Macaca fascicularis: one gene and its partners. The protein of the gene in region 2 purifies or fractionates together with the protein of the main gene of each other region. This does not show direct contact. Links are inferred from orthologs where the notes say so. Each region holds a gene or a part of one and is shown on either strand. Other genes may lie near its edges. The genes, in order: SIN3A, CHD4 and PARP1.

Region 1 (10,154 bases), on a different chromosome or scaffold from region 2:
TAGTCTCTATCTGTACTTTGAAACAGCTGGCAGTAACCCAGAAATCTGCCATTTGACAAATTAACAGCGATACCCCTTTCCCTGGTATGTCCACAACACCAACCACTGACCAAGTGTCCATGATCTAAGCCCTGCATAGGATACTTTGCACAAAGCAACAGCACAAGGCAACTAGCATCTCCATTTTTCAGATAAACAGGTTCAGAGAGTTTAACCAACTACACAGACTCTAAGGCCTGTGCTCTATTAATAAAAGAAGCAGTCCCAAGTCTAGGTAGCTCTAAGGTCCTCAACCTCACACATCCTCTGTAAATCAAAGGTCTCAGCACTCACTAGGTTCTTTGAGACGTAGCTGAATGGCAGGGCTGTCACTCTTGTCTCGCTTTATGCCCAGCACTTCCCGTTCCCATTCTCTCTCTCGGTTTTCTTCTTCAATTTGTCGTTCGGCTTGGGAACAAATCCGTAGCAGCCTCAGGCAGAGAATCTGGTGCAGTCGCATAAAAATATACCAGTTGTTATTGACATAGAAGAGGTTGTATACTTCATCCATTCCTCTTAATTTTTGAGCTGCTGTGTTACTAAACAGTAACTTGGACTTAGGGGGACTGCTCCCAACACCATTGTGCTTCTTAACTGCCCCTGTGGCTTCATCTACATCCATCTCTTCTTCTTCCTCTTCCTCCACATCTGAGAGATCACCTCTTTGGGCAAAGAGCAAATCTGGAATAAAATGATGCATGATTTGTTTTATCTTATACTTGTCCTCCTTCTGAATGCCTGTCTGCCTCTTCACATGGTGGATAATCAGAGCAGCAGCATCTTCCAGTATTTGTTTGTCTTCATACGCAAGTGAGAGGTGTGGGCCAACAGGTACACCAGCATTCTCCTCCGTAGCCTGCTCTTGCCTCTGATGGGACAGAGACACAAAAATATTCTGTGAGGTGTCTACAGCGACAACATGCCTACGAGACCACACCAGCCATACATCCCATTATCAACTACAGTGTCTATGTTTTTCTAATAAAAAACTTAGGACCTGGGGTTGGGAGCGGTGGCTTACACCTATAATCCCAGCACTTTGGTAGGCCGAGGAGGGCGATCACTTGAGGTCAGGAGTTTGAGATTAGCCTGGCCAACATGGTGAAACCCCATCTCTACTAAAAATAACAAAATTAGCTGAACATGGTGGTGGGTGCCTGTAATCCCAGCCTTCGGGATGCTAAGGCAGGAGAATCACTTGAACTCATGAGGCAAAAGTTGCAGTGAGCCGAGATCGTACTGCTGCACTCCAGCCTGGGCAACAGAGTGAGACTCTGTCTCCAAACAAAAAACAAAAACAAAACTTAGGGCCAAACCGTAACAATAATTTTGTCCCTCTTCCAGAAACAAATAGGTAATGACGGAGATGTGGTTTGATGTCAAAATACAGGTACCTTCTATACCCCAATGACTTACAGGGCGAGTGGGACAGAACTGGAGCCATCTTTCTTTTTCTTTTTTTTTTTTTTTGACAGGGTCTCGCTCTGTCACTTAGGCTGGAGTGCAGTGGAACAATCCTGGTTCACTATAACCTCCATCTCTCGGGTTCAAGCCATTCTCATGCTTCAGCCTCCTGCGTAGCTGGGATTACAGAAGTGTGCCACCATGCCAGGCTAATTTTTGTATTTTTGTTAGAGATGAGGTTTCACCATGTCCCCAGGCTGGTTTCGAACTCCTGGCCTCAAGTGATCTGCCCACCTCAGCCTCCCAAAGTGATGGGATTATAGGCGGAAGCCACTGTGCCCCGTGGGACTATCTTTCAAAATTCTGGACTAGTATTTATATAGAGGATATGATATGAGGTCTGTAATTTACTTCTGGGGTGGGGGTACGGAGGGTGACAAAGTAACATCAGCAAAATATGGATTAAGTTTATTTATTTTATTGATTTTGAGACAGAGTCTTGCTCTGTCACCCAGACTACAGTGCAGTGGCATGCTCTCAGCTCATTGCATCCTCTGCCTCCCGGGTTCAAGACATTCTCCCACCTCAGTCTACCAAGTAGCTGGGACTACAGGTGCAACCACCATGCCCGGCTAATTTTTGTATTTTTAGTAGAGACGGGGTTTCATCATGTTGGCAGGGCTGGTCTCTTTAACTCCTGACCTCAGGTGATCCGCCCGCCACGGCCTCCCAAAGTGCTGTGATTACAGGTGTGAGCCACTGTCCCCGGCCTGATTGAGTTCACCTAAGAGCTCATTTTACTATTTTTAAAATTCAGGATCACCCCACTCCAGGAATTCCCAATTGCACTGCATTTATGTTTCTATCCATCTGCTAAAACTGAGCCCATGGAAACCAGAATTGATTGCTTATTCATCTCTGATCCTAGCTCCTAGTACTATTTATAGTTCTAGTAGGCATGCTGAATAAGCAAGGATTACAAAGAGTTTGGTGGTCAATGACAAGTTTTGAAGCTATAGTAAGGAGAGATGGGACTATATGATACAAGGTATTGTTTGAGGGAAACAGGCAGTGGGAGAAGTGGAAAATGGAGGCAGGAGGTATAAGTTGAAACCAGGATAGTAAACTAGGGAACTAGTCAAATAGCTTAGGTATAAAGGTAAAGTTTAGATTTAAAATAGTAGAATGAGGAATAGAAAAGGCTATGACAGCTATAAAGCAGGAATCAACAGGTCTTAGAGAGTCTCACCTGCATTTAACAAAGGTAATTTCCAGAAATCAAAGCTGTGCTAAACATAGACTAGAGTCCACTCACAGATGTAGAAAACCCCAGCTCACCTCATCATAGATACTCTCAATCTCATTGAGTAAGCTCTTAGACCTCAGGACCTTTGTGTCATTCTGTTTAAAGTTGATCCCCTGGTGGTCCAGAGACTTCAAGTAGTATTTCTCATTTTGTTCTCGCCATACTTTGTTAAAGCCTCGCTGAGCTTCTCGCCATTCTTCCTCTTTCATCTTCAACCTAGTGAAGTGGGAAGGGATGGAAACAACATATGGGAATTCAGAGGGTTTAGAAGAAAGAAATTTGCCAGGTTTACTTTCTTTCAAGAAAAGTCAAAGCTATATTAGGTCTGTCAAAATTATTGGCAACTTGGGATGTTATCAAACCAGTCTTGAACTCTGTTTCATGAGGAAATTACTTATCTAAGACTTATTTTGGGGAAATGAGTTATCTCAAAGTCAAATAATTTACCTAGAATGGTTACTTATCAAACAGCATTCCAGGGAATACCTTTGAGATGTAAGTATTCCTTGCAAAAAGAGTTCTTGTTTCTCTGCTGTAGGACTTTGTAAAATGTTCACAATGCTAATAGAAACACAGAAGTCCAAGAGCAGAGAACTTGCACAGTTATGTTCCTCTGGATACAGTCTGGAAAGTTCTGATCAGAACTGATTCTAATAAACCAGAAGAGAACAGGCTAAGACAAAAAAACAGCACTAAAACTGAAGAATAACCTATATTTCAAAAGCCAGAAGTTAAATACTACAGGCAAGAAGAAGAAACCATCAATCTGTGCCAGCTCTTGAGGGGAAGATGAGGGAGGACAAATAAAATCTGGGTATTTGTGAACTGTGCAGCAACTAAGAATTAGTTTTTACCAGATGATACTGAGAGAACCAAGCTCCTAACAAAGGATTTACAGTGTGGTCAATAATGACATGGGGCTGGGCATGGTGTGGCTGGTGCCTGTAATGCTAGCACTTTGAGGAGGCCAAGGCAGGAGGACTGCTTGAGCCCAGGAGTTAGAGGCCAGCCTGGGAAACATAGCAAGACCTTATCTCTATTAAAAAAAAATAAAATAAAAATTAGCTGGGTGTGGTGGTGTACTCCTGTAGTCCCAGCTATTCAGGAGGCTGAGGTGGGAGGATCACCTGAGCCTGGGAAGTTGCGGCTGCAGTAAGCTGTGTTCTTACTACTGCACTCCAGCCTGGGTGAAAGAGAGAGATCTTGTCTCAAACAAACAAACAAACAAAAAAACCACAAAGATGTTAACAACAGTTAGTCCTGAGCGTGGCAGGAACATGGGTGGTAATTATCTTCTTTTCTGTATTTTAAAATACTCCCCCAGGGTTGGGGAGAAAGAGAGGTCTCATGGGACAACCAGGTTGAAAATGAGAGACTTATTTAATGGGACACTGAACCAGTAATGAAGTACACACTAAAGCACTAAGGGCACATTTGCTCAGGTACCTTTTAAGGACAATCGGAACAGCAATGGAGGGATTCTTTCTCAGACCATCAATGATGTCAGCTGCTTTATCAGCATATATCCTCTGGAGTGCTTTTCTATGGATGACTTCTGATGTGCCCCCAAGGGTGTTGTCCAAGCGAAATTTGGCTTGTTCCTCAGCAGACAAGCGGGAAAGCTTCTTCTGTATTGCTTCCAGAACCCGGATTGTTGCCAGATTGGTCTCTAAAACTACATCAAGCTGAAGAGGAAGACAAAGAAGGGTATGCTCAGGACCCAAATCAGAATAGAATAGAGTAGTGATTAGAAAAATAAGGTAGGGAGTCAAACTCCTTGGATTTGAATCCTGGTTCTGCCCTACTAGCTACATAAGACTGTTTCTTTATCAGCAAAATAGGGATAACAGCACCTATTACTCTCACAAGCCTATTTCTGGATTAAATTATACAATCCACATAAAGTATTCAGCGCAATACCTGGCACATAAGAACCACAGGATGAAGCTGGATAAACGGTAGTTATCACCACCACCACCTGCACCATGTGCTTTGCTTAAGACTACTGATCTTAGACCGGAGGAACCTAACAAGAGATGACTTTACTGATACTTTTCCCTGAACTTTCCTGAATTGCTAAGATCCGTTATGAACAAACAATAACAATCAAAACAATACCAAAAGACGGCTCTGTCTTGAGAGTTTTTTTTTTAACTTGAAATATTTAAATATATTCAAATACTAAAATACTCAATAGCCTTGTTCCACATCCAGTAATAATAAGAGCAGTGACTATCATACCCTAAGGAGTTCACTGTTGTATCTGCGGGTAATGATTTAAATTCTTATTGGACTCCTAAATGAACAGTCTACAACCAAATGTTTGCAGAAGTGTTCCCTAAATTTTCTTGTTTTGGAAATGTGGTCATCATTTTGTCAATACTTCTGGCCCCTCTTGCTCTCCAATTACCGACAAAAAATGGACTAACTTCCTGACTCCCTTATGATTGGATAGGGTCATGTAACTAGTTCTGACAAATGAGTTGTTATGAGTTGAGAAGAAGTAATGTTTATCACTTCTAGGCTGGAGCATTTAAAGGTGTGAGATCCTTCTGAGATCTCTTTTCCTCCTAGTGACTAGCAACAATCATAATGGTGGCAATCCCTTGGCCTGAATCCCCAAGTGATTCTGATATGCCAAATCCCCTGCTAAACATCAATGTACATGTAGAATGATTAGAAATTAAACCCATTGGCTTTACAAGTCACTCAGATGTGGGAGCTGTCTGTACTGAAGCATTACTAACCTATCTTAATTGGTAAACATGTTCCTTCAAACTCGCTCATCCCACCAAATCTTAAACACATGCTTACCCCACTTCTTTCATCTTTGCCCTTGTAGTCATAAATGGGAAATGAAGTTGCCTCTCATTTGGAAGCATACCAGTTGAGAGGGGATAGGAACATTCTGTCAAAAACAGATGCCAAGCTCTGCTAACTCATCAGCTAACCTTACTAAACATAAGTAACAAAGAAATGCTTGCTTTTTTTTTTTTGAGACAGATCTCGCTCTGTAGCCCAGGCTGGAGTGCAGTGGCGCAATCTTGGCTCACTGCAAGCTCCGCCTCCCGGGTTCACGCCATTCTCCTGCCTCAGCCTCCTGAGTAGCTGGGACTATAGGCACCCGCCACCGCGCCCGGCTAATTTTTTGTATTTTTAGTAGAGACGGGGTTTCACTGTGGTCTCAATCTCCTGACCTCGTGATCCGCCCGCCTCGGCCTCCCAAAGTGCTGGGATTACAAGCGTGAGCCACCGCGCCCGGCTGAAATGTCTTCTTTAGCTTGATAGCACTCCCTATGGAAGTTAACATCTGTCATGATTTAGTTTTCTGCAAACAGGTGCACTACTTATAAATGCTGGGGCAAAGATGGCCAACCACCTGCCAGTGGCCAGGCAGCATGTGGCTCTTAATTAAAAACACACCAGAAACAGCTGAAGCAAGTGTGAGGATGGAAAGCTCGCAAAGAGCTAAAAGAGTACTTAAAAAAAAAAAAACAAAAACAAAAACAAGATACCTATCCATACAAATAAGCACAGCCAGTCAATTTAATGTAATAGATACACTAAATAGGATACATGTCATTTTACCTCTTTAGACAAACCAGACTTCCCTTTTTTAAAATGATAATGTAAACCAGACATATAAACACATTGGGGATTTTGAGCCCACTTTCAGTAGTCCCCCTCCTGATACAGGTGGTATGGGGCCCTCTACCACCTCATTTATTCACTCCACTCTTCCCTTCCTAACTACTTCAAAATAAAGTTCCTGGGACAGGCGCAGTGGCTCACGCTTGTAATCCCAGCACTTTGGGAGGCCAAGGCAGGTGGGTCACTTGAGGTTAGGCGTTCAAGACTAGCCTGGCCAACATGGTGAAACCCGTCTCCACTAACAATACAAAAAAAATTAGCCGGGTGTAGTGGCATGCACCTGTAGTTCCAGCTACTTGGGAGGCTGAGGCAGGATAATGGCTTAAACTCGTGAGGCAGAGGTTGCAGTGAGCCGAGATCACACCACTGCACTCCAGCCCGGGTGACAGAGCAATACTCTGTCTTAAAAAAAAAAAAAAAAAAAAAAAAAAAAGGCTCTAATTTAACCTTCTTTCAAAAGGAGCCAATTAGGCCAGGTATGGTGGCTCATGTCTGTAATCCCAGCACTTTGGGAGGCCAGGGTGGGATGATCACTTGGGCCCAAGAGTTTGAGACCAGCCTGGGTAATGTAGTAAACACTGTCTCTATAAAAAAACAAAAAATTAGCCGCAGGGGGTGGGAGGCAAGGGGAGGGAGAGCATTAGGACAAATACATAATGCATGTGGGGCTTAAAACCTAGATGACGAGTTGATAGGCACAGCAACCCCCATGGCACATGTATATTTATGTAATAAACCTGTACGTTCTGCACATGTATCCCAGAATTTAAAGTTAAAAAAAAAAAAAAAAATTAGCCAGGCATGGTAGCACATGCCTGTAGTCCCAGTGACTTGGTGGTGGGCAGGGGTGGGGGTCTGAGTGGGAGGGTCATACTTGAGCCTGGAAGGTTGAGGCTGCAATGAACTGTGATTGTGCCACTGCACTGCAGCTTGGGCAACAGAATGAGACCCTGTCTCAAAAAAAACAAAACAAAACAAAGCAATCAATACCAGAAACATGAAAGAAAAATTCCAGTTCTCATAACAGAGCTGGTTTACTAACCATGGCAAGATACTTGCTAAGGGTAATGATACATACAGATCTTAAATAATTTAAAAACAGTTTTAAGAAAGTACTATAAACCTTAGGATGCTGATTTTCTTCACCATGTAAAACACAATAATCTTAAAATGCCATGCAAAATCAAAAGAACTATTATTCAGTCATCAATGGACCATTTCAGTTAAAAGGGCTAGCTAAAGTGGCCTACATAAGTCACATTTGCCATAAAACATGTACTAATATATTTGACCAATGCACAAAGCATGGAAAGTACCACAACAAGCATTTACCACAGAAGAATGTGAGCCTCTGGCTCTTCCATCTTAATACCCCTCAGAGATAGGTATTAAGATAGTCTTTCACTGAGCATCTCCCATATCCCCCAACTTCAAATGCCAAAGAAGCTTGTACCTCAAAGCGCTCATCTTCACAACGATAAATATGTTCTTCATATTGAGTCTTCTTGGAACTCACAAAGGTGGAGTCCTCAGACCACGAAGGGAAGGAAACCCAGGTATCATTTAAAACCTTTGTGTAGAAGAAGAGAGACTGAAACAAAAGCCTAAAACAGCTTTCTGGTGATTAAGCATTCTCAATAAAAAGACAAAACTCTAGCGGAGAAATAGGCAACTAACATTACTTCACAAATTTCACCTTTAGCAAGTTTACAAAAAGGTATTAGTAAGAAAAGCGTTCTGAATATAAGTGGAAATATAATTCCAGTGCTTTGGGAGGATGAAGCGGAAGATCACTTGAGCGCAGGAGTGACCCCATCTTTACAAAACTAAAAACTTCTATTTTTACATTTTTAGCTGGGTGTGAAGGCATGTGTAAGTCCCAGGTACTTGGGAGGATCATTTGAGCCCAGTAGGTTGAGGCGCTTTGAGCACTCCAGCCTGGGTGACAAAACAAAATCCTGTCTCAAAAACAAACAAAAAAGTAGAAAACATTTTTTTAAAAAAAAGGACTAAAAGCATTCTTAATTTCATCATTCATATAAATTCTCAATCCTTGGTACCACCACTCCCTTCTGGAAAAAGCTGAGGACCCAGGGCTGATCCTTGTTAGGGAAGGAAGGCCTTACCTCTTTACAGAGAGGAGTCCTTCCTGTACACTTGGGCTGCTGGTAACTCTTTGGTAAGGCTCGATAGCTGGAGCCCAATCGTTTACAAGAAGCATAATCTATCTCCATAGCAATGCCCTCTGTGGCTCGTTCCTTTGGATAAGTTTCCAGATGTACAGACTCCTTATAGCCCAGAAAGTTTTTAAACCAATTAAACAACTCAGGGAATTTCCTGAAGAATCAAACCAAAAAGTGACAAGCAATTAGGGGCATGATGCAGTTATCCTGAGGTATGACTACTACCACCTGGTTTTGGATCAGAAATCTGCTACCAGGGACAAATTATTTCCTGCCTAAGACGAATTGCTTCTGAGCATTTGGTTTCCCCTTTTTCTAATAAAATACTCTCAGATCAGTTAAAGTGGTGATAAAAGAGTTGTACCGAAACCAGGCAAAATAACAAACCATTCTTTTGATCAAGAATATTGCTTTAGGCCGGGCGCAGTGGCTCACGTCTATAATCCCAGCACTTTGGGAGGCCGAGGCGGGCGGATCACGAGGTCAGGAGATCAAGATCATCCTGGCTAACATGGTGAAACCCCGTCTCTAATAAAAATACAAAAAATTAGCCAGGTGTGGTGGCGGTCGCCTGTAGTCCCAGCTACTCGGGAGGCGGAGGTAGGAGAATGGTGTGAACCTGAGAGGCGGAGCTTGCAGTGAGCCGAGACTGCGCCACTGCTCTCCAACCTGGGTGACAGAGCGAGACTCCATCTCAAAAAAAAAAAAAAAAAAAAAAAGAAAAAGAATATTGCTTTAATGTTCACATAATTCTTAGGCTGTCAAATATAGTAAAGATTCCAGGCTCGGCGTGGTGGCTCACGCCTGTAATCCCAGCACTTTGGGAGGCCGAGGCAGGTGGATTACCTGAGGTCAGGAGTTCTAGACTAGCCTGGCCAACATGGTAAAACCCCCATCTCTACTAAAAAAAGTACAAAAATTAGCCGGGTGTGTGGTGACAGTAGGTCGAAGTAGGAGAATCACTTGAACCCAGGAGGCAGAGGTTGCAGTGAGCCAAGATCGCGCCATCACACTCTAGCCTGGGGAGCAAGAGTGAGACTTTGTCTCAAAGAAAAAAAAAAGAAATAATAATAATAATAATGATGATAATAATTTTTTTTAAAATTCCAGAACTCTGGGAGAGATTTTTCTTGATAAACATCCAGCACTGGTCAAAAGATCAGGAAACCACTAGTCTTGGCCATTAGTCAATAAATACTTAATGCCCTCACTATTTTCTCATCTCTAGAATTGGACTAGAAGACTTCTTAGGACTCTTTTGGCACTAACATTTGAGTCAACTGACCTATCTCAAGTAAATTAACTTTGCCTATCACATACTCTCACAAATCAAATATTACCTGGCCTCCATATCATGAATCAGGGCTGAGCCCCTCACTTCACTTACCCCAGGAAAGGAGAAACTAGTTGCACAAGCTCAGCACGAGAGATCACCTCCTGGTTAAAAATAACAAGACAGCGTAGGAAATTTTCATAGGCTTCTGCACTCCGAAGAGCCTTTCGGACCTTATGGAGACAACAGGAAGAAAAACAGTTTTTGTTTTTCTTAAAGTGGGGAATTGAAAAGGGCC
Region 2 (10,154 bases):
ACTCTGTACCTCAAATCCAGTAAGTCAGAAGTTGGCGAGCTACAGTCTGTGGGCCAGCTCTGCCCCACCACCTGTTTTTATATGGCTGAAGAGCTAAGAATGGGTTTTACATTTTAAAATGGTTGGCAAAAAGTCAAAACAAGACTATTTCATGCCACTTAATGAGAATTATACAAAATTCAAATTGTAATATCCACAGATGAAATGCTGAAACACATCCTAACTTATTCGTTTATGTATCCCCTGTGGCTGCTTTCACACAACGAAGACGGAGTTAAGTATGTACAACAGAGACCACATGTCCCACAAAGCCTGAAGCCTATCTGGCCCTTTAATAGAAAAGGTTTGGTTGGGTGCAGTGGCTCACGCCTGTAATCCCAGCACTTTGGGAGGACAAGGCAGGCAGGTCACCTGAGGTCCAGAATTTGAGACCAGCCTGGCCAATATGGCAAAACCCCATCTCTACTAAAAACACAAAAATTAGCCAGGCATGGTGGTACATGCCTGTAATCCCACCTACTCAGGAGGCTGAGGTAGGAGAATTGGTTGAACCCGGGAGACGGAGGTTGCAAGTGAGCTGGGAGATGTCACCACTGCACTCCAGCCTGGGCAACAAAGCGAGACTGTCTCCAAAAAAAGGGGGTGGGTTTTATTAACCATTTTTGGTTTGCGGAAGAGTAAAAAGGTTTACTGACCCCTACAATAAGTCACTAAGTCCAGTAAATTCTTTGGTGTTTTGTTTCCTTTATCTTTACCCTTTTCATTTTCCACAACCAGCATCACAGCCCAGACCCTTAACACCTCATGATTATATGATAGTTTTATAATCTTATGAATGCTGTTTCCATTTCCCTTGGTCCTATCAAAACTCTGCTCACAAACTTTCAGTGGCTGCCCATTAACAACAGGGTAAAGTCCAAACTCTCTTATCTGGTGCCAAGAACCCACCTACTGACCTCTAGCTCTTCTACCTTTCTCTTTCCAACCTACCTCCCAACCATCACCCAACACAAATGTTTCCCTACAGCTCAACTGGGCTATTTGCTGTTTCCAGACATACTAAACTTTGCTGCCTCATGTCTTTGCCCAACCTAATCCCTTTGTTCAGATACTCTTCTGTTCCTACCAAAAAATCTCCATCGCATTCCTCAAAACTTTATTCCAACGCCATCTTCTCCATAAAGCCATTTGTGAGTTCCCTCCCTACTCCAATTCCTCTGGAGAACTTTTTTTTTTTTTTTTAAAGACAGGGTCTCGGATGACGCAGTGGCTCAGGCCTGTAATCTCAGCACTTTGGGAGGCCATGGCGGGCAGATCACGAGGTCAAGAGATCAAGACCATCCTGGCCAAATTGCTAAAACCCCGTCTCTACTAAAAATACAAAAATTAGAGGCTGAGGCAAGAGAATTACTTGAACCCAGGAAGCAGAGGTTGCAGTGAGCAGAGATCACACCACTGTACTCCAGCCTGGCAACACATCAAGACTCTGTCTCAAAAAAAAAAAAAAAAAAAAGCGTCTTACTCTAATGCCTAGGCTGGAGCGCAGTGGCACAATCTAGGCTCACTGCAGCCTCCCGAGTAGCTGGAACTACAGGTGCACACCACGAGAATTGGTGAATTTTTGTATTTTCTGTAGACGTGGCATTTTGCCATGTTGCCCAAGCTGGTCTCGAACTCCTGGACTCAAGCAATCAGTTCTTTTAAAATGCTGGGATTAGCCACTGTGTCTGCCTCTCTGAGACCTTTTTCTTTTCTCTTCCTTTTTGAGATGAGTCTCGCTCTGTTGCCAGACTGGAGTGCAGTGGTGGGATCTCGGCTCACTGCAACCTCCGCCTCCCGGGTTCAAGCAATTCTGGAGAACTTTCTTATGCCAATCAGCAATCTCTCTCCTGATATGCAGAATGGCATTCATTTGATTACACATGTGCTCCTACTTGAAACTGAAAGCTCCTTGAAAACAGATACCATACTTTGTCTCTTTATCCCTGGGCACATCATTGCTTAGTACATAATACTTGAAGGCTTATTAGTGTGCATTTCTTCCCCGATTATACTCAGCGTATGAGACAACAGACATGTCTTTTTCTTTTTCCTTTTTTTGAGACAGAGTCTCACTCTGTTGCACAGGCTGGAGTGCCATGGCACAATCTTAGCTCAATGAAATCTCCACCTCCCAGCTTCAAGCGATTCTCATGCATCATCCTCCCAAAGTGCTGGGATTACAGGCATGAACCACTGCGCCTGGCCCACACAGCTACTCTTCAGCCCAGAAAAAGATGCCAGGCACAGTGGCTCACGCCTGTAATCCCAGCAATCTGGGTGGCCAAGGCAGGTGGATCACTTGAGGTCAGGAGTTTGAGACCAGCCTAGCAACATGGTGAAACCCCATCTCTACTAAAAATACTAAAAACAGCTGGGTGTGGTGGCGGGCGCCTGTAATCCCAGCTACTCAGGAGGCTGAGGCAGGAGAATCACTTGAACCCAGGACACAGAGGTGGCAAGTGAGAAGAGACTGCATCATTGCATTCCACCCTGGATGACAGAGACTGTCTCAAAAAAAAAAAAAAAAAAAAAAACAGCAGCCCACTGACTGATAGATACAGCTCTACCTCTTCAGAGATGCAATTCAATCCCACCTCTGTATCTTTCCTGAATACTCTACAGTGTTCCCCAAACAAACCCCTCTGCACTAGTGTCGCTCATTGGACCATAGTCACCTACAGCTCATGTACAGTTAGTTAACTTTCAAGTCTGTGTGTCTTCAACCCTAATGTGTAAGTTACTTGGAACCAAAGCCTTCCATAGAATGAAGAAAGTGAGAACGGTGCACTGGATGGACAGACTCCCTCCGCACTTAAGCAATCAATATATTCCTCCCCAACCGCTCACCTTAAACCTTCGAGCTAGAAATTTATTCTTGATCTCTAAGAAATTGCCACGGTTCATTTCACCCTTGAAAGGCTCATTGAGGATGGCATAGCGTGGGTCATTCTGGATGTCTTGCCACCGGGCATAGCCATGGCTATTGGAAAAGTGCTCAGGAAAAACAAAACAAGAAAAGTAAAAACCTCAAACTAAGAGACCTTCAGAACCAAAAGCCTCAGTCCAGATTCAGGCAAAGGATACTTTATGATGCCGGCTAGCAGCCAGTAGTCATGCCGTCGATGCCAGATCTCGTAAGTCTTCTTGGTAACTGTGGCTGCCCGCTCTTCATTCTGCCAAAGGGAGTGCAACTCTGAGGAGGAATTTAGGGAAGGTGGGAGGGGGGGCGGGAAGCAAACATCTGTGAGAATTGAAAATGCTACTTATTCTTGTCCCCCACCATCCCCCATCCCTGGATCCATCTTTATATAATTTGCTTCTGGCTTTCTCCACAGAACCCAGGGGAGTACACTATCAGTTTGGCATTCCCTCATCGAACAGAGGTAAAGTCCCTGTACCACGGTTTCTGACAAGAACCCCAATTTCACATCCGATCCTTCTAACCCTGGTGGGCCCCTCATTTCCATACCAGTAAAACCACCATCTGCAATGTTGAACATGAAACGCTGTTTAATATTTTTCTTCTGTTTCTCATCATTCAGGTCCTTGGGGGTCTCTCCATTCTGAAGCATCACCTCTTTTTTCTCTTCTTCTTCTTTCTTCTCTTCTACAGAATATAAGGAAGAAAAATGTCGGTTCCAGCCAAAGCCCAGCACCCATCGCCCTTACCCAGAACACTGTATGCTACAAGAATCCATCCACCTCCACCCCTTCTCCACCTGGGTGTCTCTCAGACCCAGAAAATGGTGCCATCGGCCCACTGGGGACAGGTGCAGTCTTTTGGGATAAAATGGCTAGATGAGTGTGGACAGGGAGGCAGGGCAGATACAGTCCTTGCTTCCGGTTTTAGAGTTCTTCTAAACCACAATCAACTTCTCCAAACACCCACCTTTGTCTTCTACCACAATAGGGGTCAGATCTATTGCTGACTTTTCCTCCACCTTCTCTACATCAGCAGCACCTAGGGGAAGAAATGTTATTGAAAATATACCTAAAGGAAGAACATTCTCCTCTGTTACACACTATTATCCAACTGGATAGACCTACATCTAAATGTCTGCGATTACAGTAATGTCAGCTGGGCACAGTGGCTCATGCCTGTAATCCCAGCATTTTGGGAGACAGTAGCGGGCAGATCACTTGAGGTTAGGAGTTCAAGACCAGCATGGCCAACATGGGAAAACCCAATCTCTATTAAAAATACAAAAATTAGCCAGGTGTGGTGGCTCATGCCTGTAATCCCAGCACTTTGGGAGGCCAAGGTGGGTGGATCACCTGAGGTCAAGAGTTAGAAACCAGCCTGGCCAACATGGTGAAACCCCGTCTCTACTAAAAATACAAAAATTAGCCAGGCATGGTGGCTCACGCCTGTAATCCTAACACTTTGGGAGGCCGAGGTGGGTGGATCTCGAGGTCAGGAGTTTGTGACCAGCCTGGCCGACATGGTAAAACCCCGTCTCTACTAAAATACAAAAATTAGCCGGGCATGGTGGTGCGTGCTGTAATCCCAGCTACTCAGGAGGCTGAGGCAGGAGAATTGTTTGAACCCAGGAGGTGGAGGTTGCAGTGAGCCGAGATCATACCACTGCACTGCACATCAGCCTGGGCGACAGAGCAAGACTCCACCTCAAAAAAAAAAAAAAAAAAAAAAAGCCGGGCATGGTAACTACTCAGGAGACTGAGGCAGGAGAATCGCTTGAACCCAGGAGGTGGAGGTTGCAGTGAGCCAATATCGTGCCACTGCACTCCTGCCTGGGCGACAGAGTGAGACACCATCTCAATAAATAAATAAATAAATAAATAAATGATTAGCTGGGCATGGTTGTGGCATGCCTGTAATCCCAGTTACTCGGAGGCTGAGGCAGGAGAACCGCTTGAACCCGGGAGGCGCAAGTTGCAGTGAGCAGAGATTGTGCCACTGCACTCCCGCCTGGGTGACAGAGTGAGACTCCATCTCAAAAAAAAAAATAAAAAAAAATAAAGTCATAAGAGATAGGAAAACCTGCCACCTAAAATCAAGGGTGCAGGATTCTTCAGTGTATCGCTTCCTCCTGATATCTCTACAGCCCCAGTGAAAATTCATGAGTGACCATGGTTCACACAGGGATCTGTAGTGCCTAAAAATATGGACACCAGCCAGGCACAGTAGCTCACGCCTATAATCCCAGCACTTTGAGAGGGCAAGGCAGGTGGATCACCTGAGGTCAGGAGTTCGAGACCAGCCTGACCAATATGGAGAAACCCCCTCTATTAAAAAATACAAAATTAGCTAGGCATGGTGGCACATGCCTGTAATCCCAGCTACTCAGGAGGTTGAGGCAGGAGAATCGCTTGAACTCAGGAGGCAGAGGTTGCAGTGAGCCGAGATCGCGCCATTACACTCCAGCTTGGGCAACAAGAGTGAAACTCCTTTTTTTTTTTTTTTTTTTTTTGAGACGGAGTCTCACGCTGTTGCCCAGGCTGGAGTGCAGTGGAGCGATCTCGGCTCACTGCAAGCTCCGCCTCCCGGGTTCCCGCCATTCTCCTGCCTCAGCCTCCTGAGTAGCTGGGACTACAGGCGCCCGCCACCGCGCCCGGCTAATTTTTTGTATTTTTAGTAGAGACGGGGTTTCACTGTGGTCTCGATCTCCTGACCTTGTGATCCGCCCGCCTCGGCCTCCCAAAGTGCTGGGATTACAGGCTTGAGCCACCGCGCCCGGCCCAAACTCCTTTTTTTAAAAAAAAAAAAAGAAAAAAAGAAAAAAAAAGGCCAGGCACAGTGGCTCATGCCTGTAATCCTAACAATTTGGGAGGCCAAGGCGGGCGGATCACAAGGCCAGGAGATTGAGACCAGCCTGGCCAACATGGTGAAACCCTGTCTCTACTAAAAACACAAAAATTAGCTGGGCATGATGGCATATGCCTGTAATCCCAGCTACTCGGGAAGCTGAAGCAGGAGAATCGCTTGAACCTGGGAGGTGGAGGTTGCAGTAAGCCAAGATGGCGCCACAGCACGCCAGCCTGGCAAGAGTGCGAGACTGTCTCAAAAAAAAAAACGTGGATACCTTTACCTTTGGGCTCTGTCTCCATAGGTTCCTCTGTTCTCTCCTTCACCTCTGCCTTTTCCACTTTCTCCTCTCCCTCAGGGGGTTCAGCAACGACCTTTTCATCCTCTGAGGCAGGGGCAGGGGGCTGTGTACACTTCAAAGGAAAAAAAAACAAAAACAAAACAGATGAAGCAGACAGGCCAGCAACTACAAGGAAGACTGGACTTATACATTTGTCTTTAGTGTGGCATTCAGTCACCCCCATCTCTTACCTCAATGGCAGTCTCAGGGGCTACAGATTTAACCTCCTTTTCTCCTTCTATGCTCTCTTCTTCTTTGAGGCTATTTTCCTCTATTTTGATCCCATCTTCTGCATAACAATAAGAGACAATCAATTAGGAAGAAGGTCCTACATCAGAGAGAAGGTCATTTCTTCCCAGTTTGTCTCATCTTAAACTGTCCTCTCGTGCCTTTAAGAGCCAGCCCCATTCTTAGGACGGCCCTCCTAAACTGAGAGGGAAATTGCTGTGTGTCCTGCCAGACTACCCTGTTAGAACTGAGCACAGGGGAGCAGAAAAATAGGCCAGGACAAAAAGAGAGGGACAGAAAATGATAGGACAGGCAGACTTACCAGCAGGTGGGGCAGGTGCAGGAGTGTTGGGCTGCGTATCCCCTGGAGTGGAGGGTGTAGGAGTCTTTGGGGAGGGTGACCCTGGCTGGGACATTTTCTTGTTTTCCTCTACCTCAGCCAGTTCAGGCATGCTCCAGCGCCCATTAACATGTTCAAACTCCTGAACCTGTAGCAATGGGACAAGAAATTGAAGACCCAATTCCAGCTGCAGGCTCCTTTCCTATTGGCCCTCCAGTCTCCGCCTCCTGGGTTCAAGCAATTCTCCTGCCTCAGCCTCCTGAGTAGCTGGGATTACAGGTGCCCACCACCACACGCAGCTAATTTTTGTATTTTTAGTAGAGACGGGGTTTCACCATGTTGGCCAGGCTGGTCTCAAACTCCTGACCTCAAGTGATCCGCCCGCCTCGGCCTCCCAAAGTGCTGGGATTACAGGTGTGAGTCACTGCGCCTGGCCCCCTAGAAACTTTTAACAATGGCAAGTGGCTCAGGGCTCACCTTCTTGCGAATCAAAGACATAACACCAATTCTAGTAAGGACATGCTGGCGAGACAGGCCTTCTCGAGGGACACCATCAGCAAAGGTCTCAGCCCCATCTGCCCCCGGCTCACATAAATGCCGCATAAAGAGAGAGACATATGCCCTGTGTAAAGAAGTAGAGAAATGAGTTAAACAAGGATCATGCTGACTCTTAAGATTCTTTTTCCATCCCTTCATGAGGCATTATCACAGGCAGTAACTATGGCTCCACCTTGAGGTAAAGCCCACCACTGCACTGGAAGGCTGATCTCCAGACCCCACAAGAAGACCCAGGTTCTCTTCCAGGGAAGCTAGGAACACATTACTAACAGCTTCACCTGCCAACTTCAACAGAGGAAACAGCCCACTTCCCTGCACGGCTGGGCCTAGAACCATGGAATGACCAGCTAGATAGCAGAAGAAGCCCTTGCTCTAGATCAGTCCACGCCAGCCCTCAACTCACTTGAACTCTTTCTCTGATTTGCCTCGCAGATCTCTTACAAGCCACTGGGTAGTAAAAGCATCCTGCGGTGGCATACCATATCGCATAATTGCGTTAAGAAAGGCTTTTCGCTGACGAGCATTAAAACCAAGTACCTAGGGGAAGAAGAAACCCAGGTGAGAGGGAGCAGGTCGCACTCCACCAAAGATCCAATATCTGGCACTCACCCACCCTTAGAATACCATGGCACTTACTTCAATATTCCCACCGACACGGGCCAACAGAGGAGGCAATGGCTTATCTTTATCATTCCGCAGGCCCTTACGACTGGGCCTACGGGGAGCTGCAGGAAGAAAAAGATGAATGAGTGACACAGGTAGGATATGAAACAAAGCAATATTTAGAAAAGCAACAAAAAAGCACAGCCCTCACCTTCTGAACGTTCATCAAAGTCTTCATCACCTTCCTCTGAAGCCACTGAGTAATCGGACTGGTTGTCGGACTGGTCGTCCTGCCAATCTGGAGGGAGAGAGGGCAGATGAGCGGGGCCCACTGCTCTAGTGGAACGGCCCATGGGTGGGGGGCGGGGCCGGCCACACACACCTCGGTCCTCCTGGGAGCCATCATTGTAGTTGACCTGTTTACGGATTCTTTTTCCTTTACCCAGATTTCGGGCTAGATCTTCTTGCTGCTGCTCATAATGGTGCCGCAGCAATTTCTCCCAGTAGTCAGGATCCACACTTTCTTCCTGTTTAATGATTTCCCGTTCTACCTCCTCTTCCTCCTGGGACAGAGGGAGGGCCAGGACTCAGGAGTGCTGAAGTCAGCACCACCAGCTACCCCTGGTCCTCATAGTTCCCACTCTGCTAGCTCCTTTTCATGACTGGACTCTTAAATAGTTGGTGTGCCTGTTTGGACCTACGAACTTAGAAGAAATTTAATTGAGAGTACATAGCTCCTCATAATTATGTATACATTAGCAATCAGCATAACTCAAGAAAAACATGGGATAGAGCCATTATCACAGGGAAAGATGAAGAGACAATGCTTTCTTCTAACCCCTTGCACTGGTGCATATACAATCGAAAAAAGCAAAAAGAAAAGAGGTCAGAGCCTTAGCAAGGCAGAATGGAGAAGCTTCTGAAATACTGTAAAAGATTTTCATAAGAGAGAAGAAAAGAGGTCTATAAGCCTTTCTGTTCTTCATAAACTTCATAAAAGCTTACCAACTGTCTGCAAAGCGAAAAGAATTATATATAGCCTCTTATATCCCAAAAATGTTGATACTCCTCTAAAAGTGAATTTTTTTCAGACACTTCAGGATCACTCACTGATTCCATATCCCTTATACTGGAATTAAACAGCTGCTAATAGCATAACATTAGAAACAACCTAAATGTCCATCATTATGGAACTAGTTAAATAAATTACAATCAGCCCTCTGTATCCATGGGTTCTGCACCTGTGGATTCAAACAACCATAGATGGAAAATATTCAGAGAAAAAACAAAATTGTCTGTACTCAACATGTACAGACTTTTTTCTTGTTATTATTCCCTAACCAATGTGGCATTTACATCGCATTGGTATTACTTTTGTGTTTAAAAGGAAAAAAATGTTTTTGGGTACATGTATGTGCGTGTACATATACATGTATGAATATATGTATAATTTGTATACACATAAAATATTTTTGTAAAGATATAAAAGGAACTGAAAACATTAGCTGTCCCCAAGAAGGGAACTAAATTGTTAGAGGACAGAAGAGAAAAGAGATACGTGTGTGTACATATAAATATATATATGTTTTTGTTTTTTTTTTTGAGACGGAGTCTCGCTCTGTCACCCAGGCTGGAGTGCGGTGGCCGGATCTCAGCTCACTGCAAGCTCCGCCTCCCGGGTTCACGCCATTCTCCTGCCTCAGCCTCCCGAGTAGCTGGGACTACAGGCGCCCGCCACCTCGCCCGGCTAGTTTTTTGTATTTTTTTTTAGTAGAGACGGGGTTTCACCGTGTTAGCCAGGATGGTCTCGATCTCCTGACCTCGTGATCCGCCCGTCTCGGCCTCCCAAAGTGCTGGGATTACAGGCATGAGCCACCGCGCCCGGCCTTTTTTTTTTTGGGGGGAGAGGGTCTAGCTGTGTTGTCTAGGCTAGAGTACAGTGGCATCATTATGGCTCACTGCAGCCTCGACCACCAGGTTTAAGCGATCCTCCCACACAGCTAGAACCACAGCATGAGCAACCACACTCAGCTAATGTTTTTATTACTTAGAGACGGAATTTCACCATGTTGCCCAAGTTGGTCTCCAACTCCTGGGCTCAAGCTGCCCTCCCGCCTCAGCCTCCCAAAGTACTGGGATTCTAGGCATGAGCCACCGCATCTTGCCCTTTCCTGTATTTTGAGCTATGTAAATTACTATCAAAAATAAAAGTTAAAAAATTTTTAAAAGAAGTCAACAGTAGCTGCAGTCACTAATCAAAGAACAATGTGTATACT
Region 3 (10,154 bases), on a different chromosome or scaffold from region 2:
ATGAAACTTTTAATACTACGTATTTCAAGAGCTCCCATGTTCAAGTATTCCTAGAGAAGGAAAGCTCTTTTTGTTTCTAAGTATGAGAAATTGTTAGCGTTCCTTCCTTTGGTCTTCCCACACCCCTCACAAAGAGGCAAACAAAATAAAAAGCGGACAATAAGTGCAAGATAAAAAAGAAAATCTAAATAGTATGAAATTAGTTTTTATTTTTAACTAAAAATAAAATGCTTAACATCTTTCCAAAATCGAAACTAAAGACGAACACTTAGAAAAGAGAGTGGAAACGTATTTTTCCTTCCCTGGGGAAACCAGTAAGGCAGACGTTCTAACGAAGCTTGGTTTTTTCCACAGGACTAGTCTATGCAAACAGAATCTCTCTCCAGCCTTTTCTCTATGTCAGTTTTATCTACCTGGCAAGAAAAAACAAAAACAACCCCCAAACAACCCCTCCCCACAAACACAACACAAAACAAGGGACTTGAAAAGTTGGAGAAAACCTTTAACGCGTTTCTGTAAAATCCTTTCTGAGGTGGTTTAGTACAGGCACTATCCATGCGCAACTTAGTTGGCCAGGTGAGTTGGTGCAGAAGCGCTTCAGGTGAATTCATACCAGAGCCACCGGGTGTGAGTCGGCCACCTCTCCCAATTACCACAGGGAGGTCTTAAAATTGAATTTCAGTTTCAGCAGATACTTCAGATTTACCTGAGCAATATCGTAGACAATGTACCTGAGGGGAAGCTTGTTAAGGAGCCAACGGTCATACAACAGAGGGTACATGTGCCTCATCTCCCCCAGGCTGGCAGGACGCTCAGTGCCAGCCTGAAAGTCACTCTAAGTCTTCTTCAGGCAGACTGAGGAGAGGAGATCATTCTCTGGAAACTGGGGGAAGGCTCATACCTTGTTAGCCAGGCTATGCACAGGGAGGGACCACGGAAGGGAAACAGTCACCATGGGACAGACTACAGGACAGCCTCTAATCCTTCTCTGCCCTGGGTAATCTGACAGCATGTAAGTGACTCTGTAGCTCGAGAACATCCCTTTGTGCTCACACAGCATACTCAAGAAAGGATACTCGTTATATAGTAGACAGGTGTCATTCACACCAGATGAAATCCCGGTCCCAAGAGGAACCTCTACACCATCCAGACTAATACTAGCTGAAGGGTCAGGGGTAGTTTTGCCCAAACCTGAAAAACAGAAGTCACAAGTGACATGAACTGTGAGAGCAGATGTGGCAAAGGTTCCAGGGAGATGAGCTCTATTTGATGTTGAGTCCATGTGGCCTTTTTTTTCCCTTTTTGAGATGGAGTCTCACTCTGTCGCCCAGGCTGGAGTGCAACAGCATGATCTCAGCTCACTGCAACCTCCGCCTCCCGGATTCAAGCAATTCTCGTGCCTCAGCCTCCTGAGTAGCTGGGATTACAGGCACCTGCCACCATACCCAGCTAATTTTTTGTATTTTAGTAGAGACAGGGTTTCACTACGTTGGCCAGGATGGTCTCGAACTCCTGACCTCAGGTGATCCACCGCACCCAGTCTCATGTGCTTATTTTAAAGACATGCTCTGCTCTATCTTTCTTCAGATACAAAACTAAGGCAATAAATCAAGGTTTCCAGGGCATCAACCTTCACTGAGTTTCATGAGAACAGTGGCAGTACCCTCCATACAGGGTCACATTTTGGCTTAACAGAATTCCAAAGCAGCCACTTCAACCAGGCAGTGGGAAGTTCTAAATCATATGCTGCAAATTCTAGCAATGCAAGATGCTCCAGGCTACAAGATGCTGTAGCTACAAGTTAGGTTAAAGCCCAAACCCATGCACCTGGTTACTGGTGCCTGCACCAAGATTCTCCTGGGGCATCTGTGATACCAGCTGCAGCCACAGAGAGAGAACTGTTTTTAAAAATGAACCTCCTGCTATAGAGCTTGCCTTTTTTTTTTTTTTTTTACAAAAATAAATAAAACGAACCTCCAATCACGGTCAGCTGCAGCATATTAACCACCACTACCACCCCCAAACAACAACAACCACACACACACCCCAAAAGGATAAAATGAATCTCCAGCTGTTTGACAGCCAGCCACAAGGCAGCCTTCTCAGGACAGCAAGCCCCCCGTTCTGTGCTGTCCAGGGTGCCTTGGGCTGTAGCAGCAGCTTTGGAAACACTTTACCTTTGACACTGTGCTTCCCCTTGGGTAACTTGCTGATATGTGAAGCGTGCTTCAGTTCATACCTATTCAAAAGAGGACGGGCTCAGAAGAGGCTTTCACACTGTGCTCTCAAAACCAAGTTTGATTAGGAGAATAAGATCAGATATAGAGATGAGATAAAAGCCCACAAAACCCAGACCATCTTAACTGCTCAGGCTTCCTCCCGAGTTTCTGGAACTGCTCCAGAACCTGAAGCTGCGGTTGCGGCTGAACATAGTCTGTGCCCAGCGATCACTGCTATGGGGCCATTTTCAAGGAAAGGCCCTATATGGAGTGGTGAACGGCAGCTCTGGGTTTCCGTCCACATTCCACAGTCCCCAGACCCCTGGCCATTTACATGACCCTGTGCTTTTGGTTACAGTTCACAGGACTAGGGTGGATGTCCAAATCAAGCTGGACTAATCAGATCTTTCTCTGTGGAGAATCTGGAAGTGGGATTAAGATTCCAGTTCTATTTGGGTTGGTCTAAGAAAACTGAAACACTGCTGAGTGGAGGAGGAGGCCATGGGGGATCATCCTTTGTGCAACTCAATCTCTCTGCTTCCCAGTCCGTGGAGAGAAGACACTGCCAGCTCTGGAGGCCTGGCTGCGTTCCTGCCCTTGCATTTCCTGAAGTATCCTTGTATCTCCCTTGTTCCCTTAACTTGAATTGGATTCTGTTATTTACAAGAAAAGAATCCTAATTGGCAGGTCCAGTAACTGTAGTGGGGAATTTCCACTCTCCCAGCCAAAGGGAGTTCTGCCTATAGCCCATTCCATCTGTCCCCATGAAATGCCATCGGTCCCAGAGCCAGGTTTACTCACATGTTTCCAAGGGCAACTTCTCCCAACACGATTAAGCCTATTGGGTCTCCCTGAGACGTATGGCAGTAGTTGGCACTCTTGGAGACCATGTCAGCGAAATAGATCCCTTTACCAAACATGTAGCCTGTCTGGAAGGTTGGAAAAGGGACAGCTGAGAATCTTCTGATGGGAAATTAGGAGCAGCTGTTCACTGAGTGCCAACATGAGCAAGCCACCCAGCTAAGTGCTGCAATCCATCACTTCTAATTCTCACAATGCCCATGCTGAGGAAACACCAAAGTTTTAGCTCACAAGCCAGGCTGCTCAGATCCTAGCTCTGCCAGGTGCCAAGGAGCTGCAAGAAGCTATGTAACCTTTCTGGACTCTACTTGCCTCTTTTAAGTGGGGAACATAATCTCATGGAGCTGCTGTGAGGATGGAATGAGCTCATCAATGTTACTTAAACTAGTGCCTGTCAACACCCAAGGAACGCAGACTGGTATTTTTATTCCCTTTTGTAAGTGAAACACAAGGTTCACAAAGGGTAGGCCATTTGCCCATTATACACTACTGCACAGCACCAGAGAGCATCATTTAAACCACTCTCCTCCTCGTTCTACAACTGTGAAACTAGAGGCTTGGAAGGCCCTGTCCAGCTGGACCCATCTAGAATCCAGCAGGTGGCATCACGACCCCTCGTGTCTGGGTAAAGCCTTACTTATTTATCACTACGTTTTCCTGCTGAAGACACTGACACTCAAGAGGTGGCCCGGCTGGGAAGTGGTAGAGGTAGGCCTGGACTCAGCTTGGCCTGTAGCCACGTGTCTGTTCTTTGCTCATCAACACACCCAATTAGCATTTGCAGCAGGCCCTGGCCTGGATGCTCTATCTCCTTTGTTCCAGAAACTGTGTTTGAAACTCCTGACAGGATCAGGGTCAGGAGGATAAAAGGGTGAAGGCCTAAAGAAAGGATGTCTGGCAGCATCCCCCTAAGCCAACTAGGCCTCTTACTCAAAGTTCTTTATGGAGACACCTGCAGAGACAGGTATTGCCCACCCCTCACTAGGCCAGGCACATACCACAGGTGCTTCAGGCGGGGCTATCCGAAGACCCTGGGACAGGATCCCGGCAAAGTTGGTGGTCCTGGACCCGTGCCACAGCAATCTTCGGTTATGAAGCTGCTTAAAGGGCTTGTAGCGCTGGCATTCGCCTTCACGCTCTATCTTAAAGATCTGGTTGTAGTAGTAAACAAAGGGAGGGACAAAAGAAGCCATTTGTTACTCTGGTTGATTGAAAGATAGGACTGGACACAGGAGAAATGACTGGCTGTCCCTAAGGCTAGAAGACTTAAGGTCTGCTGCAATGCAGAAAATGTTTTCCACAAGGCTGGGATGGAAGGTCAAGGTCTGGCCCAGCAGAGCCCAGCCATTGCTAGTTAGTATTACTGTGCAGCAGATGTGCACTTGAGGAACTTTATCTTAGACCTCTGATAATTGTACGTTCTGAGACCAGGTTTGGGGATGGGAAATGTCCTTTAAAACATAATAAAAAGCCATCCCCAAACTACTGTATAAGATGCTAATTTTATAATCTCAGCACTTTGGGAGGCCAAGGAAGGCAGATCACCTGAGGTCAGGAGTTCAAGACCAGCCTGGCCAACATGGTGAATCCCTGCCTCTACTAAAAATACAAAAATTAGCCAGGTGTGGTGGCGCATGCCTGTAATCCCAGCTACTCTGGAGGCTGAGACAGGAGAATCACTTGAACCCGGGAGGCAAAGGTTGCAGTGGGCTGGGATTACACCACTGCACTCCAGCCTGGGTGACAGAGTGAGACTCCATGCCAAAAAAAAAAAAAAAAAAAAAAAAAAGACTACTAATTTTTCTGCTGAACAAATGAGTCACTTCTTTGGATTATTTAAAGTAAGTAAACTGCTCTTTTCTACCCAGGCCCAGGTTGGAGGAGTGGGCAGGGAAAAGCTGGCAGGACACAGAAGAAAGTGGGGGAAGAAGGGATTCTTACATCGATGACTTCCAAGTCATACGCATTGTGTGTGGTTGCATGAGTGTTCTTAACATACTTCCTGATGATCTCGGCTTCTTCAGAATCTCTGCCAACCACCTGGGTAAACAGAATCTTGGGATTAGCACAAAGGAGACCCCAGGAGAGCTACAGAGGAGGAATGCTCAGGCTCAGTCGATGCACAGCTCAACACCACACTCCTCAAAGGAAGCCAGGCATGACCGAGAGCCTGTGTCCCAGGCCCGTGGGCTGGGCAGATCCTGGGCCAGTGGCTCCACTTTCCTCTTCATCTACTTGGGCTCAGGGTTCCTTTTTGTCTTAAAATTCTATGTTTTGGGATATCAGGGAAGCTGGAATATGGGGCTCACTGTCAGTGAGCAGGGCATTTCCAGAACAAGCAACTGGCTCCTGGAAGAGAGTCCAGCTCAGCATGAGTTAAAACACAATGGGCCAGAGGAAGTCACAGCTATGATGTGCAATTAAAATTATCCCTGGCTCAGTGCACAAGCCTAACAAGCAGCTGTCAAATAGCTGACGTAATCTATGCTAAGTAAACCTGAGTATTATAGATGAGACTAGTTATGTTTTATTTTCATATTTATATTCAAAGTTCAGAAAACCTAGGAATGCTGGTCTACCTCACTGTCTTTTAATTAAAAGTCTTCAGAATTGTAAACAGAGAATAAGAATCCCTTCACAAAGAACCACCCCCACAGTTTTCCCATCAGGAAGGTGCTCTAGGGGCAAAATAAGTGACATGTGGCGTCTTACCTGCTTGGACTCACAGATCTACACTTTGTCCTAGGAAAGGAGCAAAGGCTCTTTCTTTAGTGATGTAAACACCTGGTACCAGACTCAACACACTAGCCCACCTGAACCCCTGCAACACTGCAGGGAATGGGCTGAGGACAATGGGGCACATGAGCGTGGAGATAGGCTCAAGGACAGGGCCATCTAGAAGCTGAGGCAAAAATCCCTCCTCTGTTGGTCTAAGCAGGGTGTTCAGAGACTGTGTGTGCCAACACAGGCCACTTTAGCTCCAGAGAAAAATGAACCCAAGCACTGTGTTTTTATTAGAGCTGCCATCAAGCATTTCCACTTCTGAAATGGACATCGGTAATAAGCCCTCTAAAAGTTCACACCACAAGGGTTTAGAAAAACAGAGTTCCTCTCTAGATTAAGGAGGGGGAAAAAAAAAAGAACTTTTGGTAAGACCCTCAAAAATCAATTTGTATGCCAAGCTGAGGTGCTGGCTTGGAAGGCTGCCTTGCAAGCAAGGTGCATTATCTACATGTGAAATGCCCAGAGGTTCTCAAAGGACCACCAGCAGCAATGTCCGGGAACTTGTTAGAAAAGTAAATTACTGGGCACCAGCCATCTGTGTTTTAACAAGCTTTCCAGGAGATCCTAACACACATGCAAGTATGGGACCGCTGCTCTCAGGATGAGGTTAAATGTTTGAGGAAGGCCTGACCCTGTTACCTTAATGTCAGTTTTGAGCTTCTCATAGTTGACATCGATGGGGTCCTTGCTGCTATCATCAGACCCTCCCCTGAGCAGACTGTAGGCCACCTCGATGTCTAGCAGGTTGTCAAGCATTTCCACCTTGGCCTGGAGGAGCAAAAGCAAGCCCCTGACTTAGGTATCATGGTGAGTGAGACAGACTCACCCAGGTGGCAGAGAAAACCTACATGCAGAGAACGTTCAACACAGTGAAGGGCAAACCTTCCTGCTGGTCAGGGCCAGCCTGTTACCTGCTGCACACAGTGAGCTCTCCTAAGGACTTCCTGGAATGCTAACAAGGCCTTGCGGCCTGGGGGAGTTGAGAGGTGGAAGAACTGTCTTTCCTCTCATACAAGCTGACATTTGGGACCTATAATGAAGGTACTTCAGACAAATGTTTCCTGAGCCAGGAGCTCTCTTAAAAGGCAGAGAGGGAAAATGGGGAGGAAGACGTTGTTATGAGGGAGAGGCTCTCCCTCTCCAACAGCTCTTTCCCCAGTGGATTTGGTGGAACAGAGGCAGGAAAAATGGCTCTGCCTCCATCAGTGTGGGTAGAAACCCAACTTCAAAACAAGGGCAAGGAGGTGGCCCTCCCAGCATCGGCGCTGCCCTCGGGGATCATGACGGGGAGGGACGGTTGCAAGGGAGTCACACCCTCGCCCAGCAGACCTGCAGTCCCTTCTGAACCCTTGTGTACCTGCACACTGTCTGCACTGTTCAGGAGCGGAGGCTTCTTCATCCCAAAGTCATGGGGGATCAGGGTGTAAAAGCGATTTGAGAGATCCAGGATCTGAGAGTCGCTGCTGCCCTGAGACACTGCCTGGAGACGAGGGGACAGAAGGAACACAAGACTGACGAAGCAGCTCCGAGCCCCCGGCCAGGCTTTCTCTTCTAGCAGGTGGGTGCTGCAGCAGGTCCAGAAGTAGCGTGGTATGTGCACATGCCAGGATGCATGGGAAACGACCAGAAGACCACCTTCCTGTTAAAGCTACACCACTGAGCAGCACAGGACCCCCATCCTCTAAAAGCACTGCTCAACACAATGGGCTTCTCCCATGAACTTTCATTTGTACAAAGAACTGTGCAGTTACAGACATCTGAAACCCCGCCACAACTATGCAAAATGTTAACTGTAAAATCTAGGTGGTGGGCTCATGACTACTGCTGTAAAATTTCTTCAACTTTTTGTATGTTTGAAACATTTTCATAATAAAATGTTGGGAGGAAGTTGCCCATTGCTATAAAATTCAGTCAGGCTCCTTGTCTCCACTGACCTTCATTGGCATTAGTTTTTACTGTACCCGGAGGTTGAAGTGGCCAGGCACAGAAAGGCTAAGCAACCCTTACACTTACTGCCAGTGTCACTTGGTGCTCTATATGTAAAGGGTGTGCAAAAAATGCACAGAGATGAAGAGTGGGGCCATTGGGATTCCAGGAATTTGGCAGACAGCCTAGGTGACCACAAGAAGGTCAAGGGGGTATCAAGTGGCACCCAGCAGGTCTGAAGCCCCACGCCTGCTTCTTGCTGTAACATGGACTTCACCAAGTCGTACAACTTCCATCTGTGCTGCCCAGGTGGCTCTGGAAATGGGTAAGGATGCTATTCCAGCTCTTCTACCTGAAGACTATGGCATGGGAAGAAGCAGGGGCTGAGGAAAGCCTTGCAAGTTCTCAGTCAGTGAGGAATAAGGAGAGACGTTCACTGCTCAGAGCCAGCTGTAACTGGAGTTGACAGATCCGGTTCAGGGCCTTTTCTCCAGCACCAGCCAGAAAGCCCGCTGCCTAGGCCCACTTCTGTTTCCCGTGTGCTTTCCTTCTTTCTATAGGCCAAGCCTGTATCCACCCACAAACATAAGCGGAACCCTCCAGCTTCTCCGGGATGTAGCTGGAAGGTTCCAGGACTGGGAGACCTTGAAAGATGCTTGAAGAATGTTGAAATAACATGAATGAAAGGTTTCCATCTGATGACTTCCTAGTAACTGCACAATAAACTCTGCCTAACTCTTAAGGACACATAAAATAAAAACCACAACGCAGGTGACCCTTGAACAATCGATTTGAAGTGTGCAGGTCCACTTATACACAGATGTTTTCAATAAATACAGTTAGCTCTCTACACCTGTGGGCTCTGCAGTTGAGAATTCAACCAAACTCAGATCAAAAATATATTATTCTCAGGCCAGGTGCGGTGGCTCATGCCTGTAATCCCAGCACTTTGGGAGGCTGAGGTGGGCGGATCACTTGAACCCAGGAGTTCGAGACCAGTCTGGCCAACATAGTGAAACCTCACCTCTACTAAAAACACAAAAAATTAGCTGGGCGTGGTGGCGCATGCTTGTAACCTCAGCTACTCGGCATGAGAATCGCTTGAACCTGGGGGCGGAGGTTGCAGTGAGCTGAGATTGTGCCACTGCACTCCAGCCTGGGGGACACAGCGAGACTCTGTCTCAAAAAAGAAAAAGAAAAGAAAAATTCCCCCTCCCACAAAAAAAATCTCAGGATGCGAGACCCACAGATGTGCAGGGCCAACTTTTCTCCTCCATGGGTTCTGCAGGGTGGACTGTAGGACTTGAGCATGAGTGAATTTTAGTGACCACAAGGGAGTCCTGGAACCAATCCTCGAGGATACAGAGGGATGCCTTTACTTTTAAGAGAGAGGGTAACCAACGTCTTCAAGTTTATAGGCAGTTTACTATGTATCTGACAACTGAAAAAGTTGCCATTCATTAGTTTTATGATAAACTTTTGTAAGTGGCAGGCACTTGCCATTTATTGAACTAAAAAAAATCTAAACCCTCGTGATATGCAGTTCAGTACTTCCAGTTTCTTAACCTTGAGTAAATGTTACCCCTGGCCACCCCCAGGTCTCGCCCCCTAAGTCAGCCAGGGGAGGTTCCAGGAGGCCCCTGGCGGCCCCGTGCTTACCTGCTGTACCTCACTGAGGATGGAGTACGCGGCCTGGATCTGCCTTTTGCTCAGCTTCCCCAAGGGCATCTTCTGAAGGTCGATCTGAGGAGACAGGGGATTTCGCTCTGAATGCTGGGGACTGCGCAGTGTGATAGCAGGAGAGCTGGACCGAGCAGCCCACCCTCAGGCCCCCAACAGAAGCAGTCAGGAGCCTGCTGGGATTTCCTGAGGACACCAGTGACCCAAATCCAGAGTTTGTAGCCCCACTCCCCCAATGAGAGATGGTAGTGTGTCTGAAGATTCTTGCTTACTTCCATTATGGCTGGGCTTAGCCAAGCCATAAGTCATGCTGACCCCCCCGCCCAGTGGCCTTCCCTGGGGTCCCAGAGCCAAGGCGGTTAAGTGCACCCCTCCCTGGGTTCCCAGCTGGAAAAGAACCAAGAGTTTTCAAGTGTTGAACACTATTTTTAAAAAGGACACACTCCTGAACTTATGGACTTACATTCAAATCAATGCTGTCCCTTTCAGATCAGTCACCTCCAACAAATATTGCTACTGCTCATATCTTGGAAACTGCCTGACATCAAGAGAAACTGCAGTGGAAGAAGCATGAGATCTGCAGCCTTCGTTTTCCATTTGTTAAGTGGGGCCATTTCCTTAAAAGGCACTCACTCCCTTTTGCGAGCAGCCCTGCCTATTTAGCTCAGCCCCTGCGTGGAGACA

What was found.
Region 1: the proteins of CHD4 (region 2) and SIN3A purify together in Homo sapiens (affinity purification with mass spectrometry; 3 studies listed by BioGRID, with this or other methods). This does not show direct contact. The link is inferred for Macaca fascicularis from reciprocal best matches to the Homo sapiens genes CHD4 and SIN3A.
Region 3: the proteins of CHD4 (region 2) and PARP1 purify together in Homo sapiens (affinity purification with mass spectrometry; 4 studies listed by BioGRID and IntAct, with this or other methods). This does not show direct contact. The link is inferred for Macaca fascicularis from reciprocal best matches to the Homo sapiens genes CHD4 and PARP1.

What each region holds. Positions count from the first base shown.
Region 1 is NC_088381.1:52,615,538-52,625,691, forward strand, and holds part of SIN3A (paired amphipathic helix protein Sin3a), read right to left. Parts: intron 10,090-10,154; coding exon 9,971-10,089; intron 8,738-9,970; coding exon 8,527-8,737; intron 7,971-8,526; coding exon 7,854-7,970; intron 4,435-7,853; coding exon 4,196-4,434; intron 2,966-4,195; coding exon 2,782-2,965; intron 908-2,781; coding exon 334-907; intron 1-333. UniProt on the Homo sapiens protein: Acts as a transcriptional repressor. Corepressor for REST. Interacts with MXI1 to repress MYC responsive genes and antagonize MYC oncogenic activities. Also interacts with MXD1-MAX heterodimers to repress transcription by tethering SIN3A to DNA.
Region 2 is NC_088385.1:7,496,918-7,507,071, forward strand, and holds part of CHD4 (chromodomain-helicase-DNA-binding protein 4), read right to left. Parts: intron 8,442-10,154; coding exon 8,090-8,441; intron 8,001-8,089; coding exon 7,912-8,000; intron 7,813-7,911; coding exon 7,679-7,812; intron 7,340-7,678; coding exon 7,195-7,339; intron 6,866-7,194; coding exon 6,700-6,865; intron 6,661-6,699; exon of another isoform or gene 6,524-6,660; intron 6,439-6,523; coding exon 6,341-6,438; intron 6,223-6,340; coding exon 6,093-6,222; coding exon of another isoform or gene 6,087-6,092; intron 4,252-6,086; exon of another isoform or gene 4,004-4,251; coding exon 3,932-4,003; exon of another isoform or gene 3,656-3,931; intron 3,650-3,655; coding exon 3,512-3,649; intron 3,426-3,511; exon of another isoform or gene 3,378-3,425; intron 3,236-3,377; coding exon 3,127-3,235; intron 3,023-3,126; coding exon 2,890-3,022; intron 1-2,889. UniProt on the Homo sapiens protein: ATP-dependent chromatin-remodeling factor that binds and distorts nucleosomal DNA. Acts as a component of the histone deacetylase NuRD complex which participates in the remodeling of chromatin.
Region 3 is NC_088375.1:84,277,536-84,287,689, forward strand, and holds the end of PARP1 (poly [ADP-ribose] polymerase 1), read right to left. Parts: intron 9,534-10,154; coding exon 9,450-9,533; intron 7,345-9,449; coding exon 7,222-7,344; intron 6,633-7,221; coding exon 6,504-6,632; intron 5,121-6,503; coding exon 5,022-5,120; intron 4,232-5,021; coding exon 4,079-4,231; intron 3,149-4,078; coding exon 3,021-3,148; intron 2,240-3,020; coding exon 2,178-2,239; intron 1,192-2,177; coding exon 1,077-1,191; intron 732-1,076; coding exon 650-731; 3' UTR 190-649; downstream 1-189. UniProt on the Homo sapiens protein: Poly-ADP-ribosyltransferase that mediates poly-ADP-ribosylation of proteins and plays a key role in DNA repair.